Stegostoma tigrinum: one gene and its partner. The protein of the gene in region 2 interacts with the protein of the main gene of each other region in a pairwise test. Links are inferred from orthologs where the notes say so. Each region holds a gene or a part of one and is shown on either strand. Other genes may lie near its edges.

What was found.
Region 1: the proteins of oxidative stress-induced growth inhibitor 1-like (region 2) and bcar3 interact in binary tests that used the Homo sapiens proteins (3 or more experiments, as listed by UniProt). The link is inferred for Stegostoma tigrinum from reciprocal best matches to the Homo sapiens genes OSGIN1 and BCAR3.

Annotation. Positions count from the first base shown.
Region 1 is NC_081361.1:85,037,313-85,045,339, reverse strand, and holds the start of bcar3 (breast cancer anti-estrogen resistance protein 3), read right to left. Parts: upstream 5,224-8,027; 5' UTR 5,062-5,223; intron 1-5,061. UniProt on the Homo sapiens protein: Acts as an adapter protein downstream of several growth factor receptors to promote cell proliferation, migration, and redistribution of actin fibers.
Region 2 is NC_081369.1:3,055,731-3,063,757, reverse strand, and holds the start of oxidative stress-induced growth inhibitor 1-like, read right to left. Parts: upstream 5,410-8,027; 5' UTR 5,285-5,409; intron 3,310-5,284; exon of another isoform or gene 3,188-3,309; intron 1-3,187. UniProt on the Homo sapiens protein: Monooxygenase catalytic activity. Involved in regulation of cytokinesis; promotes RHOA activity, probably acting locally at the midbody in late cytokinesis.

The DNA of each region.
Region 1 (8,027 bases), on a different chromosome or scaffold from region 2:
CCTAGAGATGACATTGTGAACATTCTCTTTCAGTTCTGCATCACCAAGCCCCATTATCTAGCAACCAGGCTTCTAACAAGAAAATCTCTGATGAAGGGTCTAGGCCCGAAACGTCAGCTTTTGTGCTCCTGAGATGCTGCTTGGCCTGCTGTGTTCATCCAGCCTCACATTTTATTATCTTGGAATTCTCCAGCATCTGTAGTTCCCATTATCTCTAACAAGAAAATCTCTCTTTGCCTACATTGCTGCTAGACTCCATAGTCTTAATGTACCTCAATCGATCGGACCTGAAAATCTCCGCTTTACAAAGAAAGAGGCCCTTTGATCAATCAATTCTGTACCGGTCATCAAGCGCCTATCTATTCTAATCCCTTTTTCCAGTACTTGGCCTGTAACCTTGTTTGCTATGGTGTTTTAAGTGTTTATCTAAATAATTCTGAAATGTTGTTAGGGTACTCTTTCCAAAATTCTTTCAGGTAGTCATGTTCCAGATAACTCCAACTTCTGGGTGAAAAAAAATCCACAGGATCACTTGTTTGTCTCCTGCTCCTTCCCTTAAATCTATGACCCCAATTCTTTCTGTTTACTCCATCACCTGATTGTCATGATGTTTCAATCTCACCTGATCTCTGTGGACCGTGGTGGAATTATTTAAATAATATTTTCTGATCTGGCTGACTTCCATCATAAACTTTCTAATCTCTGCATGCAGTACAGCTATTTGTCTATCCTTTGTATTTTTTTTTTACAAAGTGCCCGAGTTCGAAATGCTGGATTTCCTCTTCATTCTTTATAAATGACAGTACTGTACATCCTTTGATAAATAGCACTTTGGCAATTTTCTAGTAAAGAATGCATTGAAGAAACCTTGCCACAAATAAATTGTTGTTTCTTCAATTCCTCATCCTGCTGACCATTGTTGACATCTTCCAGCACTTAACTGCTTGTATTGCTGACAACGACCTACTTGAGGCTCCATCATCAACTGCTTGCACATTGCTTTTGAATTTTGCCCTTAGAACAAGGAAAACTGAGCAGGCAAACCTGTTTTTCTCAGAAGTATATTTAAAATTTAGAGTGATGAATGTGTCGTGAACTTGTAAAACGATAACGCATATGATAGATCCCTAAGCCCAACATACTAACGTCCTTTAGGGAAGGAAACTACCATCCTTACCTGGTCTGGCCTACATGAGACTCCAGACCCACACAATGTGGTTGACTCTTACCTGCCCTCTGGACAATCAGGGATGGGCAATAAATGCTGCCTGGCTAGTATCACATTCATCCCCTTAATGAATAAAGAAAGAAAAACAGTAAACTGTAAACCCTAGAAAACATGGTCAATCCGAGCTCTGACCTGGATTCAACGCAGTGATTTGGGGAACTGTCCTATAGATTTAACTTGTGTTAAAAGGTGAAAGTTTTTTTTGGCTATGATCCTAGGCGAGGCATGAATATTTTCTGTGGAATATCTTCACATTGCTAAATTGGGTGGATTGGTTGGGAGGGTCTGGGGTGTAGTCAGGGTGTTGAATTCTGTTTTGGGTGAAAATTGGGCAGCTGTGAATGTTTTGTAAAACCTGGTTGATCAGGAGATGAGTGCGGGTGGGAAGTGCAATTTTTAGGCAGACTGGAAGAACACAGAAAGAGCAGCATTCACATTCAAAACATGATCATGCCAATTTGAACAGTTCCCCTTTCAGGATCACTAGCCACAAAATGACATGACCCACTATCACGAGTACCCTTACATACAGATGAGGAAGGACACCACTTTGATTGGGACAACACATCCATCCTAGGACAAGCCAAACAGAGACATGCATGAGAATTCCTAGCAGCATGGCATTCCAACCGGAACTCCATCAACAAACACATTGGCTCCAAATCAATCTACCACCCTCTGAGAAAAAGAACAGGAAATGACATCACCAACCCAAGGAAACCTAAACAGATAAATAGAAAGCAGGACATAACACCAGCGCTTGGTCAGAGGCTCACTGATAATGTTACCTAGAATGGTGACAAAACATCTGAAAACTAACCTTCCAGCTCAGCGAGCAAACTCACATCCAGAATCTCAACCCGAGCTACAAATCTTCTCAAAACTCGCTACTAGTTATTTCAGTCCACACTCAACACTCAGCAATGCTTGAACTTTAATGAGTAATGTAGAGCACCAAGTGAAATATTGAAATAAGCATCAATAAATGTGGAGCTGGAAAAGCACAGCAGGTCAGACAGCATCCAAGGAAAAGGAAAGTCGATGTTTCGGTCCAAAATCCTATGGATGCTGTCTGACCTGCTGTGCTTTACCTTTAATCATTCACAGGATGAGGGCATCAATGGTGAGGCAGCATTTACTGCCCATCCCTTAGAGGGCAGTTAAAAGTCAACCCTATTGCCGTGGGTCTGGAGTAACATGTAGGCGAGACGAGGTAAGGATGGCAGTTTCCTTCCCTAAAAGGACATTAGTGAACCAGATGGGGTTTTTCCAGCAATCAACAATGGGGTCATGGTCATCATAGATTCTTAATTCCAGATATTTTTATTGTATTCAAATTCCACCATCTGCTGTGGCAGCATTTGAACCTGGGTTCCCAGAATGTTATCTGGATTAACAGTCCAACGATAACACCACTAGGCCACTGACCCTCCCATTTACCAGCTCCACATTTATTGATTCCAGCTTTCAGCATCTATAGTCCCTACTGTCTCTAAGTTATTGAAATAAGTCTCCTGTCTATTTGGTTGGAGAGCTTCCTGTTTGTTTTATATGTTCAAAACAAAACCAAGAACCAAAGAGATATTTTTTCCCAATGTAGATAACTCTCCACCTCCTCTTTGCACTCTGGTCATTCTGCATCACTAACTACTTGCATTTGGTGTCAAAGCGAGTTCTTAAGTCACGAGATCACACACCAATTGCAATTCCAATGTAAGTCTGCTGGACTCAGAGATTTCAGGCCATCTCAGTAAAAATTGGCCAATAATGATTGAACAAAATAAATACTAGGGTTAACAGAATAAATATAAGATCTGCCAGGATTATGGATGGTGTTTGCATATTGTGCTTCCATTGATTTTTCTATGAAAACCATAAATTGTTGGATAAACCACAATTGGAGCACTGCATGCAGTTCTGGTCACCACATGTGATTGTGGAAGGATGTGATTGCACTAGTGAGGGTGCAGAGGAGACTTAGTAGGATGCTGTCTGGGTTAGAGGGTCTAAGCTATGGGGAATGATTGGATGAATTGGAGTTGAGAGGAGATCAGACAGATGAGTACAAGATTATGCAAGGCATAGACAAGCCAGATAGCAAGGCATTTTTTCCCCCATTAGTAAAGGGGTCAATAAGTGGTAAAATGCTAAGTGGAGACTCAAAGAGAAATCTTTTCACAGGAGCAGATAGTGGGTGTTTCTAACTTGCAAATTGAAAGGGTGGTTGAATCAGAAACTCAACATTGAAGCAGTATTTAGGTATTGACTTGCATTGCCATAACTTCCAGGGCTATGGGCCAAGAATTGGAAAATGGGATTAGTATAGTCAGATCTTTGTTGACCAGTACAAAGATGACGGGCCAAATGGCCTCATTCTGTGGGGGAAACATCTATGCGTAATCTTGATAGGGTTGTTTAGCAGGACCTCTTATAATAAAAAAATATAAATTTTCAAAGGGGTGTCTTTCCCAGAGAAAGGAAGTGCATGGTAAACATTTTCTTTTCAGTTTGATGCTCACAATGCACTGATATGAATCCAATCAAAACACCACTGTAATAAGAATGACGCAGTGGTTCTGGTTTTCATCCCAACCCCTAGTTGAAGTCAAGGTTTCCTTGAACACTTTTATCCAAGTTCTACATGCATTGTTTGGATGAGACACTAAACTGAGACTCCAGCTGCCCCCTCAGGTAGATGTACCCAGCTCCCACTGCACCATGTTGAAGAAAAGCTGGGTAATGCTCTGAAAAGGCCTGGTCAATATTTCTTCCCCAGTCAAGATGAATGGGGGAAAGAAAAATATTTGCTCTGGGGCATAGACTTGACTACAGCATTGCTCACAATCACTGAGCTCTGTGATGTCCTCGTGTTAGGAGAGGGCTGCATAGCTGAACATTTTCTTCAAACTCAATCCCACTTCATTTAGATATAAATGCTGTGAGGAAGATACTAAATCCAGTTCTAAAACACACAGACATGTTCTTGTGGAACATTCCCCTTATCAAGGTTTTAAGTAAAACGTTCAATTTAAAATAACTGGACAATGAAGGAAGCTTCGGCCAGACAGGACGATTTCAACTGACGAGATTTTCTGCTTCAGTGTTAGCAAGGGACTCTGCAGATAACTTATCCCCGGTTGCATTGTTTAAACAAGCGGATCAGAGATGAGGTGACCTTTAACTCTCAACGCTGGTCCCCAGACAACACGTGAAAGCAGTAAAACATTTGTGGAAGAAACTGCAATTTCCGTTCAATTATCAGGCTGCAAAGTCAGAAACAAGGCAACACTGCGGTCTCAGATAACAAAATGTGGAGCTGGATGAACACAGCAGGCCAAGCAGCATCTCAGGAGCACAAAAGCTGACGTTTCGGGATGAAGGGTCTAAGCACGAAACGTCAGCTTTTGTGCTCCTGAGATGCTGCTTGGCCCGCTGTGTTCATCCAGCCTCACACTTTATTATCTTGGATTCTCTAGCACTGCGGTTTCAGTGAGGAGACCAGTCTGCTGAGAGTTTGGACTGACAGAGAGGAGTGGGGCTGGTTAGGCATTTCACCCGGAGTACCTTCGCCACGGGGCACTCTGCTCGAACATACTCGTTACCGTGTACAGTAATTAGAAACGCAGCGCGCCTACGATACTCTTCACAGCCTTCACCAACACTCCAGGTGAAAAGAGTTTTCTTGACGCCACTCGATTAAAAATTGCACAAAGCCCAACGCGTTCACAATGTTTCCGATCTACTGTTGGACCAGCTTCCTAATCCAATTAAAACAATTGCTGACAATCAGGCAAATACTCCGCGTTTCGCCGAAGGTGGAGTTAATCACCTACCTACCCACAGAGCACAGTGTTCTGCACGGGACAGAGCTGAGCACCTTCTGAATGAGTTGCCTCTGTTTGCCTGGATGGTTGTATCCTGTCTGATCAGGAGAGCCTGGGATCTGTATGCGTGAGAGAGAGAGAGAGAGAGAGGTCAGACTGCAGTGTTGAGAGTCTGAACCATTTCCCAGCAGTGCCAGACCTTAGCTCAGCTCACGAAATAGCCTTCAGCGCAGAAAGATAACACAATCCAATTTTATGGCCGATCAACAGGTAAAACTCGAACGGATGGTGACTAGTTGTAAGTGGTAGCTTATGAACTTTTCACTGTGCTCATTTGAGTACATGTGACAATAAAGCCAATTCAATCATTTATAGAACATTACAGCACAGTACAGGCCCTTCGGCCCTCGATGTTGTGCCGACCTGTCATACCGATCTCAAGCCCATCTAACCTACACTATTCCATGTACGTCCATATGCTTATCCAATGATGACTTAAATGTACCTAAAGTTGGCGAATCTACTACCGTTGCAGGAAAAGCCTTCCATTCCCTTACTATTCTGAGTAAAGAAACTACCTCTGACATCTGTCCTATATCTTTCACCCCTCAATTTAAAGCTATGCCCCCTCGTGCTCACCATCACCATCCGAGGAAAAAGGCTCTCCCTATCCACCCTATCTAACCCTCTGATTATTTTATATGTTTCAATTAAGTCACCTCTCAACCTTCTCCTCTCTAATGAAAACAGCCTCAAGTCCCTCAGCCTTTCCTCATAAGACCTTCCCTCCATACCAGGCAACATCCTAGTAAATCTCCTCTGCACCCTTTCCAAAGCTTCCACATCCTTCTTATAATGCGGTGACCAGAACTGTACACAATACTCCAAGTGCGGCCACACCAGAGTTTTGTACAGCTGCAGCATAACCTCTTGGTTCCAGAACTCAATCCCTCTATTAATAAAAGCTAAAACACTGTATGCCTTCTTAACAGCCCTGTCAACCTGGGTGGCAACTTTCAAGGATCTGTGTACATGGACACAGATCTCTCTGCTCATCTACACTACCAAGAATCTTACCATTAGTCCAGTACTTTGCCTTCCGGTTACTTCTACCAAAGTGCATCACCTCACACTTGTCTGCATTAAACTCCATTTGCCACCTCTCAGCCCAGCTCTGCAGCTTATCTATGTCTCTGCAACCTACAGCATCCTTCGTCACTATCCACAACTCCACCGACCTTAGTGTCGTCTGCAAATTTACTAACCCATCCTTCTACACAGTCATCCAGGTCATCTATAAAAATGACAAACAGCAGTGGACCCAACACCGACCCTTGTGGTACACCACTAGTAACTGGACTCCAGGATGAACATTTCCCATCAACTACCACCCTCTGTCTTCTTTCAGCAAGCCAATTTCCGATCCAAACTGCTATATCTCCCACAATTCCATTCCTCCGGATTTTGTACAATAGCCTATTGTGGGGAACCTTATCAAACGCCTTGCTGAAATCCATATATACCACATCAACCGGTTTACTCTCATCTACCTGTTTGGTCACCTTCTCAAAGAACTCAATAAGGTTTGCGAGGCACGACCTTCCCTTCACAAAACCGTGCTGACTATCCCAATCAATTTATTCTTTTCTAGATGATATAAATCCTATCCCTTATAACCTTTTCCAACACTTTACCAACAACTGAGGTAAGGCTGACTGGTCTATAATTACCAGGGTTGTCTCTACTCTCCTTCTTGAACAGGGGAACCACATTTGCTATCCTCCAGTCATCTGGCACTATCCCTGTAGACAATGAGCTGAGCTAAAGATCAATGCCAAAGGCTCGGCGATCTCCTTCCTAGCTTCCCAGAGGATCCGAGGATAAATCCCATCCGGCCCAGGGGACTTATCTATCTTCACCTTCTGAAGGATTTCTAATACCTCTTCCGTGTAAACTTCAATCCCAGCTAGTCTAGTAGCCTGTATCTCAGTATTCTCCTCGACAACATTGTCGTTTTCTAGAGTGAATACTGTTGAAAAGTATTCATTTAGCGCTTCCCCTATCTTATCTGACTCCACACACAACTTACCACTACTATCCTTGATTGGGCCTAATCTTGCTTTCGTCATTCTTTTATTCCTTAAATACCTATAGAAAGCCTTAGGGTTTAACCCCGATCCTATCCGCCAACAACTTCTCATGTCTCCTCCTGGCTCTTCTGAGCTCTCTCTTTAGGTCTTTCCGGGCTACCTCGTAGCCCTCAAGTGCCCTAACTGAGCCTTCGCATCTCATCCTAATATAAGCCTTCTTCTTCCTCTTGACCAGAGATTCCACGTCCTTCGTAAACCATGGCTCCCGCACTCTACAGCTTCCTCCCTGCCTGACAGGTACATATTTATCTAGGACACACGGGAGCTTTTCCTTGAATAAGCTCCACATTTCTAATGTGCCCATCCCCTGCAGTTTCCTTCCCCATCCTATGCTCCCTAAATCTTGCCTAATCTCATTGTAATTGCCTTTCCCCCAGCTATAACTCTTGCCCAGTGGTATACACCTATCCCTTTCCATCACTAAAGTAAACATAACAGAATTGTGATCACTATCACCAAAGTGCTCACCTACTTCCAAATCTAACACCTGGCTGGGCTCAGTACCCAGTACCAAATCTAATGTGGCTTCGCCCCTTGTTGGCCTATCTACATACTGTGTCAGGAAGCCCTCCTGCACACTCTGGACAAAAACTGACCCATCTATAGTACTGGAACTATAGTGTTCCCAGTCAATATCTGGAAAGTTGAAGTCCCCCATGACAACTACCCCATCTCTCTCACGCCTATCGAGAATCATCTTTGCTATCCTTTCCTCTATATCTCTGGAACTATTCGGAGGCCTATAGAAAACTCCCAACAGGGTGACCTCTCCTTTCCTGTTTCTAATCTCAGCCCATACTACCTCAGTTGACAAGTCCCCAAACA
Region 2 (8,027 bases):
AGACGTGGGGTGCAGGTACATAGTTCCTCGGAAGTGGCATTGCAGATAGGCAGGGTGGGGAAGGTGGCATTTGGCATGCTAGCCTCCATTGCTCACAGCGTTGAGTACAGGAGTTGGGATGTTAAGTTACAGCTGTACAAGACATTAATGACGCCACATTTTGTGTACTACATTGAAATCTGGTCACCCTGCTTTAGGAAGAATGTTACTCAACTCAAAAGGGTGCAGAGAAGATTTACAAGCATGTTAACAAGACCAGAAGGTTTAAGTTATCAGGAAAGGCTGGATAGGCTAGGACCTTTTTCCCTGCAATGTAGGAGGTCCAGGGAAGACCTTATGGGGGTTTATAAAATCTTGAGGGTACAGATAAGGTGAATAGCCAATGGTCTTTTCCCCAGAGTAGGAGTCCAAAACTAGAAGGCATAGGTTTAAGGTGAGGAGAAACATTTAAACAGACCTGAGGGGCAACTTTTTCCACACAGAAGGTGGTGTGTATTGCTGTGTATGTGGAGCCAGACAAGGTAAGAACAGCAGATTTCCTTCCCAAAAGGGCATCAGTGAAGCAAATGGGTTTTTGCAACCAACTGACTGCCTTCATGTCACTTGTAGCATGTTCTTCATTTGTAGGTTTTATGAACAGAATTGAGAAAATGGTGGGTTTTGAATGGTTTGGATTACTGGTCCAGCTATTTGTAACGTTAACACAGTCACATAGCCGTCCATTGACTATACCACCTGTCTCTACGGCTCCAACCCCCAGGAATATCCCTCAGTATCTTTTTGTCAGGTTAATGACTGTAAAAAGACATATTGTCATGGATACAAGTCGACACAAATATCAGGGATTCTGTCTATTACGGTCCACAAAACAATTCACTAGATTTCCGAAGTTGAGAGTCTTTAGAATTCACTTCCTCAAAAGCTGGTGAAACCTTTCATACCTTAAAAGACAGGAGTGGATAGATTCTTGATTACCAAGTGGATAATAAATTATCAGGGATATAAGGAATGCAGGATTGAGTTTAAAATCAGATCTGGTATCATCTTATTGAACGATTGAGGGGGATTGATGGGCCTAGCGGCTTCCTCTTGTTCCTTATTTATATGTTCACGTCTGAATTGGCTGGCTGAAGTATTCAGACTGTCTGTCTGGTGGCTGACCTCTGTACAAACGGGCAGGCAGTCAGTGGGAGGAGAGCCCTGGAGAAACTGGGAGATCCAGTGAGTACGATGGAAGGGATTGGGGTGAGAGAGGGGGATCTCGCTGATACAGACGCTCAAAGGCAAAGGGTATAAGCACTGCCCATTGACTTGACCAATGGGAATGTGGACAACAACAGTAGAACCTGGTACAGCAAGAGCAGCAGATGCTGAAGTCAGAGTCTTTCAGTGTGGAGCTGGAGGAACACAGCAGCATCAAAGGAGTGGAAATGCTGACGTTTCGGATCACGTCAGTTCAGAAGGGTTCCGATCCTTTCCTACTCTCCTACTCTGTTGATGTTGTCTGACCTGCTGTGTTCCTCCAGCTCCACTCTGTGTTAAACTGTAGAACCTGTCTTTGGCAGGCAGAGCCTCTGGTCTCGGATCTGTAGCCAAGTGGCCGAGAGAATGGAGACTCCCCTGAAAACACTGCCACTTCAAGTGAAATGACACAAAAATTGGTGGAGTTATGGATAGCGAGGAAGGATATCAAAGGATGCAGAGGAAATGGATCAGATGGAAAGTTGGGTGGAGAAATGGCAGATGGAGTTTAATCCAAACAAGTGTGAGGTGGTGTAATTTGGGAGGTCAAGTGCAAGAGGAAATGATACAGTAAATAGCAGGACCCTGAGCAGCATCGATATACAGAGGGATCTTGGGATGCAAGTTGCAAAAGTGACAAACCAAGTGGATAAGGTGGTAAAGAAGGCATGTTGTTCTTCATCAATCAGGGCAATGAGTATAAAAGTTAGCAAGTCATGTTGCAACTGCTTTAGAGTTCAGTCAGGGCATGTTTGGAGTATCACGTGCAGTTCTGGTCACCACATTATCATGAGGATGTGGAGGCTTTGGAGAGGGTGCAGATGATGTTCACTGGGATGTTGCCTGGATCGGAGTGAGTCAACCACAAGGAGAGGTTGGATAAGCTTTGGATTATTTTCACGAGAGCATTGGAGGCTGCGGGGCGACCTGATAGATGTATATAAAATTATGAAGGGCACGGTTAGGGTGGGGAGCCAGGATGGAAATACAACAGGTTTAAGGTGAGATGGGGAAAGGTTAAAGGAGATATGCGTAGAAAGTCCTTTTTTTTTAAAAACATGGAGGGTGATAGGTGCCTGGAATACGCTACTGGGGAGATGGCGGAAGCAGATACATTAGTAACATTTAAAAGGCATTTAGATAAACATGAGCAGGCAGGGACAAAAGGATACCAACCATATGCAGGCAAATGGGATTAGTTTAGAATAGGTCTGTGCATTGTGGGCGAAAGGGCCTGTTCCTGTACTGTATTGTTCTATGTTCTTAACCAGTGTCTTGTCTCTCATGTGGGGGAGACTCATTGAAGGCCTGATGAATTGTAAACAACCAGAAAATTGGTGGGTTTGAAGATGTAAGGTTAAATTACTCCTTTTAACTCCATCCAGACAACATTCGTAAAGGATGGCGAAGTGAAGGAAGTCAGCGTTGAGACCAATACTGACCTACTCCTTCCATCCACATGTCTCTGCGCAGCAACCAGTTATCAAAGGTAAAACAGAGTGAGGAAAAGAAAAATGGAACTCAGCACTTTGTTTACCAGGATACCTTCTGAGCCACAACAGAGCAGCAGGGAATGAGCTGGGAGATCCCTGGTTGCCAGGAGAACCAGTAATGGGGCTGTACGTCTAACACAAGCTACAAGAGTTTACATCGAGTTGGCTGAGTTTGGGTATGGTGCTCCAGTTGAGGTGCAGACGGCTGAATTGGTGTTTAGGGGGGGGGGGGGGGAGGAGGTGGTGTGGTACATGTTGGAACCTGTGTTAATATAGCGCCCACTGTCTCTACAGTGACTCGGCTCAAGAGAAGACAACGTGAGACCATCCGCCAAACGTAGGCACACGTGATAAATGAGCCCTTTGTGCTGAGGAATGAAAATAAGCAAAAACACTGCGGGGGAGACAGGATAATGACAGCCTAATTTTATGCAATCAAACGTCCAGCTTACCTGTTGGATCAGACACCAGGGAGAAAGCCGTTTTACACGGGAATGAGCTCTGTGAGGATAAAGACTCCCAGCAAACTGCACACTCTCCTGGGTGTTTCCTGATTAAATCAGTGGTTAAAAAGCCAGGGAGGAGCCTGAGCAAGAGGGAAGAAGCTGAGAGAGCGTGACTCAGCACGAACACCCTGGGAGGTCAGGGTGACTTGGCAGATTGAGAGGAAGGATCCAGGTTTGAGAGGGACAAGAGGATCACACACACTGCAGCGTGACCCCTTCACATGTTGACCTCACACTGACAGTGAGAGCGTGCTTACAGACTCAGCCAGATACAGTTTAATGCGAGACACACACTGCCTTTCTCACTCTCAGCGTCTGTGTTTCATATTTAGTGCTTCCCTAAAGTGTCTCTGTCTCTATTTCTGTCTGTAATTTTCTGTTTCTCTCTCTCTCTCTCTGTTTCTCTGTTAATCCCAATTACTCTGCCTTTATTCTACATCTCTATCTCAATCATCTGTGCCTAAGAAAGAAATTCCAATTACATTTCACTGGAGTTCTGTTTCCTTGTAATATCCCTCAGAGATTTGTTTGTGGTCTTTCTTGAATTCTTTGAGAGACTGATATTTCCCTTGGCATTCAGTGACATCCACTCCGTTCTCATTCTCTGGGCCAATGTGAACACGGTTTAAGGTTATTCATAAAATCATTCTAAGATTGCCCCAAAGGCAGGAACTGCCCACAGCCAAGTAATCCCTGGAACACGAGCCTCTGAGGTGGGAGGGAACAATATTTCCAAATTCCTATTTCTGGGCACTGCCGTATGTTGCCAAATAACTGAACAAACCACAGCATGGTACTAGACTCATCCAGAGTTTCAGTACCCGCTGGGGTCGGCAGTGCTGTCTCTCAAACACAACGGATATCAGAAAACCCAGGCCGGTCAATGACTGGGAAGACCCAGCGTTCCAAGAACATGGCATTGCAAAGTCCTGGATGTGAAGGGAAGAGAGAGGGTGTCAATCTGCCCCCTATATGGGATAGAATACAGAGGAAAAAAAAAATCAGATATACCACATTTAGTAAGAGGTGGGATATGAATGTAGTCCCTTTAAAGGGCCCTGGAGAGGGTGAGATGGCTAATGTGGCCCATTTAAGGGGCAGGGTGAACAATACAGCTGATGTGACTCTTTTTGAATGGGGGTAGTGTGAGGGGGAAGCACCCATTTAATACAGAGGACCATGAGTTCATGTAGTCCCAGGAGGACAAGGGTGGGGCCGGTGGAGCACCCCCTGTAGGGGAGAGTGGAGGTGCATGTGGTGCAACTGCCTGTGATCGCTCTCTGAATCAGAAGCTACTGGGTTCAAACCCCACTCCAGACAGCCCTACAATGTGAAGACCAAGCATATGGATTAATAAAGATTGGAGTTCCCGAATCCAGTTGAGGGGTGCTGCTCTCTGAGGGAAGGCAGCCTTAACTGTTTTATATCCTAACAACTGAACTGTGAACACGTCACAGTCTGTTAGACTGTACTAATCGTTGCAGCGTTTGCCAGTGCGGTCAGGAAACAGGACAAAAAAAATCGATACCCAGGGCCAAAAAAAACCTCACTCACCTCCCAGTCCAGTTTACAACAAGCCATGTTTATGTACAGGAAGTGTGTGCTTCCTGCTTCTGAGAGAACGTGGTTCTTTCTAAACCTCGTGTTTCATGGCGGAAAGTCTTTGAACCGAGATCCCCGAGAGGTTTTTTTATATTTAAAAAAATCAATTTCCAAGCACATCTGCTGACTGCATTTGGTAAGAATTGACTGGACGCTACTCCCCAGTTAATCTGCATTTCAACTCCCTGTGATAATCACAGACCATCTACACTTCCGACAGCAACCACGGGGTTAACCTTTCCTTTCAGGCTGTGAGATGATTTTTTTTTACAAAGAAGAGCGGCTCATCTGCACTGAGGGCAAGAGTGGGCGTGATAATGGAGCGATTTGTGTAAACTCAGGGCCTCGATGAGTCTCAGAATTAAATTCAGTTTGGGAAATGCAGATGGCTGGTGTCTCTGTAAATATCCTCTAAAGGAAGAGAAAAGTGACTCTCCTTACCCGCGTTCTGTCCGAGGCTCACACCAACACCACAAAGTGTCACTGAGCTGTGCCCCTGACGCTTCACGGATGGGAGGGCGAGACAGGGTGTGAATACCAGCGATGCCCAGACCTGCAGGACGAACAAGCGCAAGCAGAGAGACAACCAGCACTGAGCGACCCTGTCAATGAGTCATTTTAATGCAAAGGGAAGGGGACAGCTATTTTGGCGTTGTGGGGGGAGGGACAGGAGGGAGTTTGTGGAAGGTGGATTAAAGCGCAGAAAATAACTGCAACCCCCAATGTGCAGCTGCACATTCCTTTCATCTTTATCTCTCTTCCCCACCCCTTTTCTGCCAAACCCTCTTTTTTTGCCTTATCGCTTCCTCCCCATCCCAATCCTCCCCTTCCTCTGTTCTCTCTCCCTCACGTTTTCTCCCAGTCCCAATTTTGTCTCTCTCTTCCCCCCCCGCCCCGGAAAAATCCAGCCACCACGTGACATCAAAAAGCTCAGATTTCAGGGCCACTTAGAGGTGTGCAAACTGAAGACTATGTTTAGTGCATCTGAGCTGGGGGGCAGTTGACCATGAGACATCGGAGCTGGAGAAGGCCTTTCAAACCATCGAGTCTGCGCTGCCAGTCCATGGAATCATGGGCTGATCTGATAATCCTTAATTCCACTCTCCGACCTTTTCCTGATAAGCCTTGATCCCCTTATTGATTAAAAATCAGTCTCAGCCTTGAACATACTTCAAAATCCAACCTGGCGAGCCCACTGTGGGAAAATAATGGCACAACAAGTTCCTTAATGGTGATACCGGTGCTCAGTGGCTGGCACTGCTGCCTCACAGCGTCAGGGTTCAATCCCACCCTTGGGCAACTGTCTGTGTGGAGTTCGCACATTCTCCCTGTGTCTGCGTGGGTTTCCTCCCACAGTCCAAAGATTTGCAGGTTAGGGTGGATTGGCCATGCTAAATTGCCCATAGTGTTCAGGGATGTGTAGATTAGGTAGGTCATAGGGGAATGGGTCTGGGTGGGATGCTGTGAGGGTCGGTGTGGACTTGTTGTGCCTAAGGGCCTGTTTCCACACTGTAGGGATTCTGTGAGCTGTCCACTCATTTAGAAAGCCTTCATCAGGGTGAAGGTGAGAAGATGGTGGGTTGCCCAGGATTACAATCTCCTCTGATTTACCTCTGGATGAGTTTGTTCCCAGGGCTGATAGACAGACAACAGGTGGAATTTGAGTACTGGCCGCTGAATCTGTCTTTTGGCCTGAAGGATCGTTCAGTGTTTGTTTCTTTCCTCTCTGTCAACTTTTCCTCCCTCTGCTCACACCCTGTTGTCTGTAGTTGGGGGAAGCCCTCAATGTAAAATATAGCAATCTCAGTTTTCAATTGGTCCCATTGTCCATGGTACTTGAACACTGCATCCAATTCCAGTCGCCCTGATACAGAAAGGATGTCATTAAACTGGAAAGGGTGCAAAAAAAAATTTACAAGGATGGAGGCGCTAGGTTTAACCGGGATATTTTTCCCTGGAGCGTCGGAGACTGAGTGGTGACCTTGGAGAGTGGTGGAGATAAAGTGAATAAGCATAGATAAGGTGAATGGACAAGGTGTTTTCCTCAGGGTAGGGGAGTCTAAATCATAGGTTTAAGGTGAGAGGGGCAAGATTTAAAAGGGACCTGAGGGGCAACTTTTTCCACACAGAGTATGGTATGTATTTGGAATGCGCTGCAAGTGGAAGTCATAGAGGTGGGTAAATTACAACATTTGAAAGACATTTGTACAGGTACATGGCTGGGAAAGGTTTAGAGGGATATGGGCCAAATGCAGGCAAAAGGGACTAGTTCAGGTTAGGAAACCTTGTGGGCATGGACGACCAAAGGGTCTGTTTCCATGCTGTATGACTCTATAATAAGTGGAAGTTGCTTTTTCCCCCTGGGACACCAAGTCAATTGTAGATTCCTGGGATACAGTCAGCAAACTCAGCACAGAATAAAAATCAAATAAACTGCGGATGCTGTAAATCAGGAACAAAAACAAAGTTCCTATAAAAGCTCAGTAGGTCTGGCAGTAACTGTGAAGAAATAAATCAGAGTTAATGTTTTGGGTCCAGTGACCCTTCCTCAGAACTGATGGTGGCTGGGAAATGTCCGTTTATATGCAGAAAATAGGGAGGTGGGTGGGGTAGAGAGTAAATGATAGGATAGAGCCTAAAGAGAGAGAAGAACAGTTGGACAGACAAACGAGTTGATAAGAATCTGGCTGGGAAGGTGAATAGTTGTTAAGGGGGACTGTTAGTTACTAACGACAGGTGGTGTGTAATGGCAGGCTATGTGGTAACAAGGCCTGGTGTGTTGGGTGGGGGGCTGGGACATGGGAGAGTTTAGGCCCTAATATGATTGAACTCGATTTTGAGTCTGGAAGGCTGTAGGGTGCCCAAGCGGAAAATGAGGTGTTGTTTCTCCAGAGGAAAGTTCCAGTTCTGAGGAAGACTCACTGGACCCAAAACGTTAACTCTGTTTTTCCTTTACAGATGCTGCCAGACCTGCTGAGCTTTTCCAGCAACTTTGTTTTTGTTCCTGATTTACAGTATCTGCAGTTATTTTGGTTTTTATTGTGTGTTGTTTTTCCAGCTTGCATTGAGCTTTGCTAGAACACTGTAGCAAGCCAGAGACAGACATGTTGAACAGGGAACATAATAGTATATTAAAGTGACAGGCAACAGGTAGTTCAGGGTCTCTTTTGCGAGCAGAATGTAG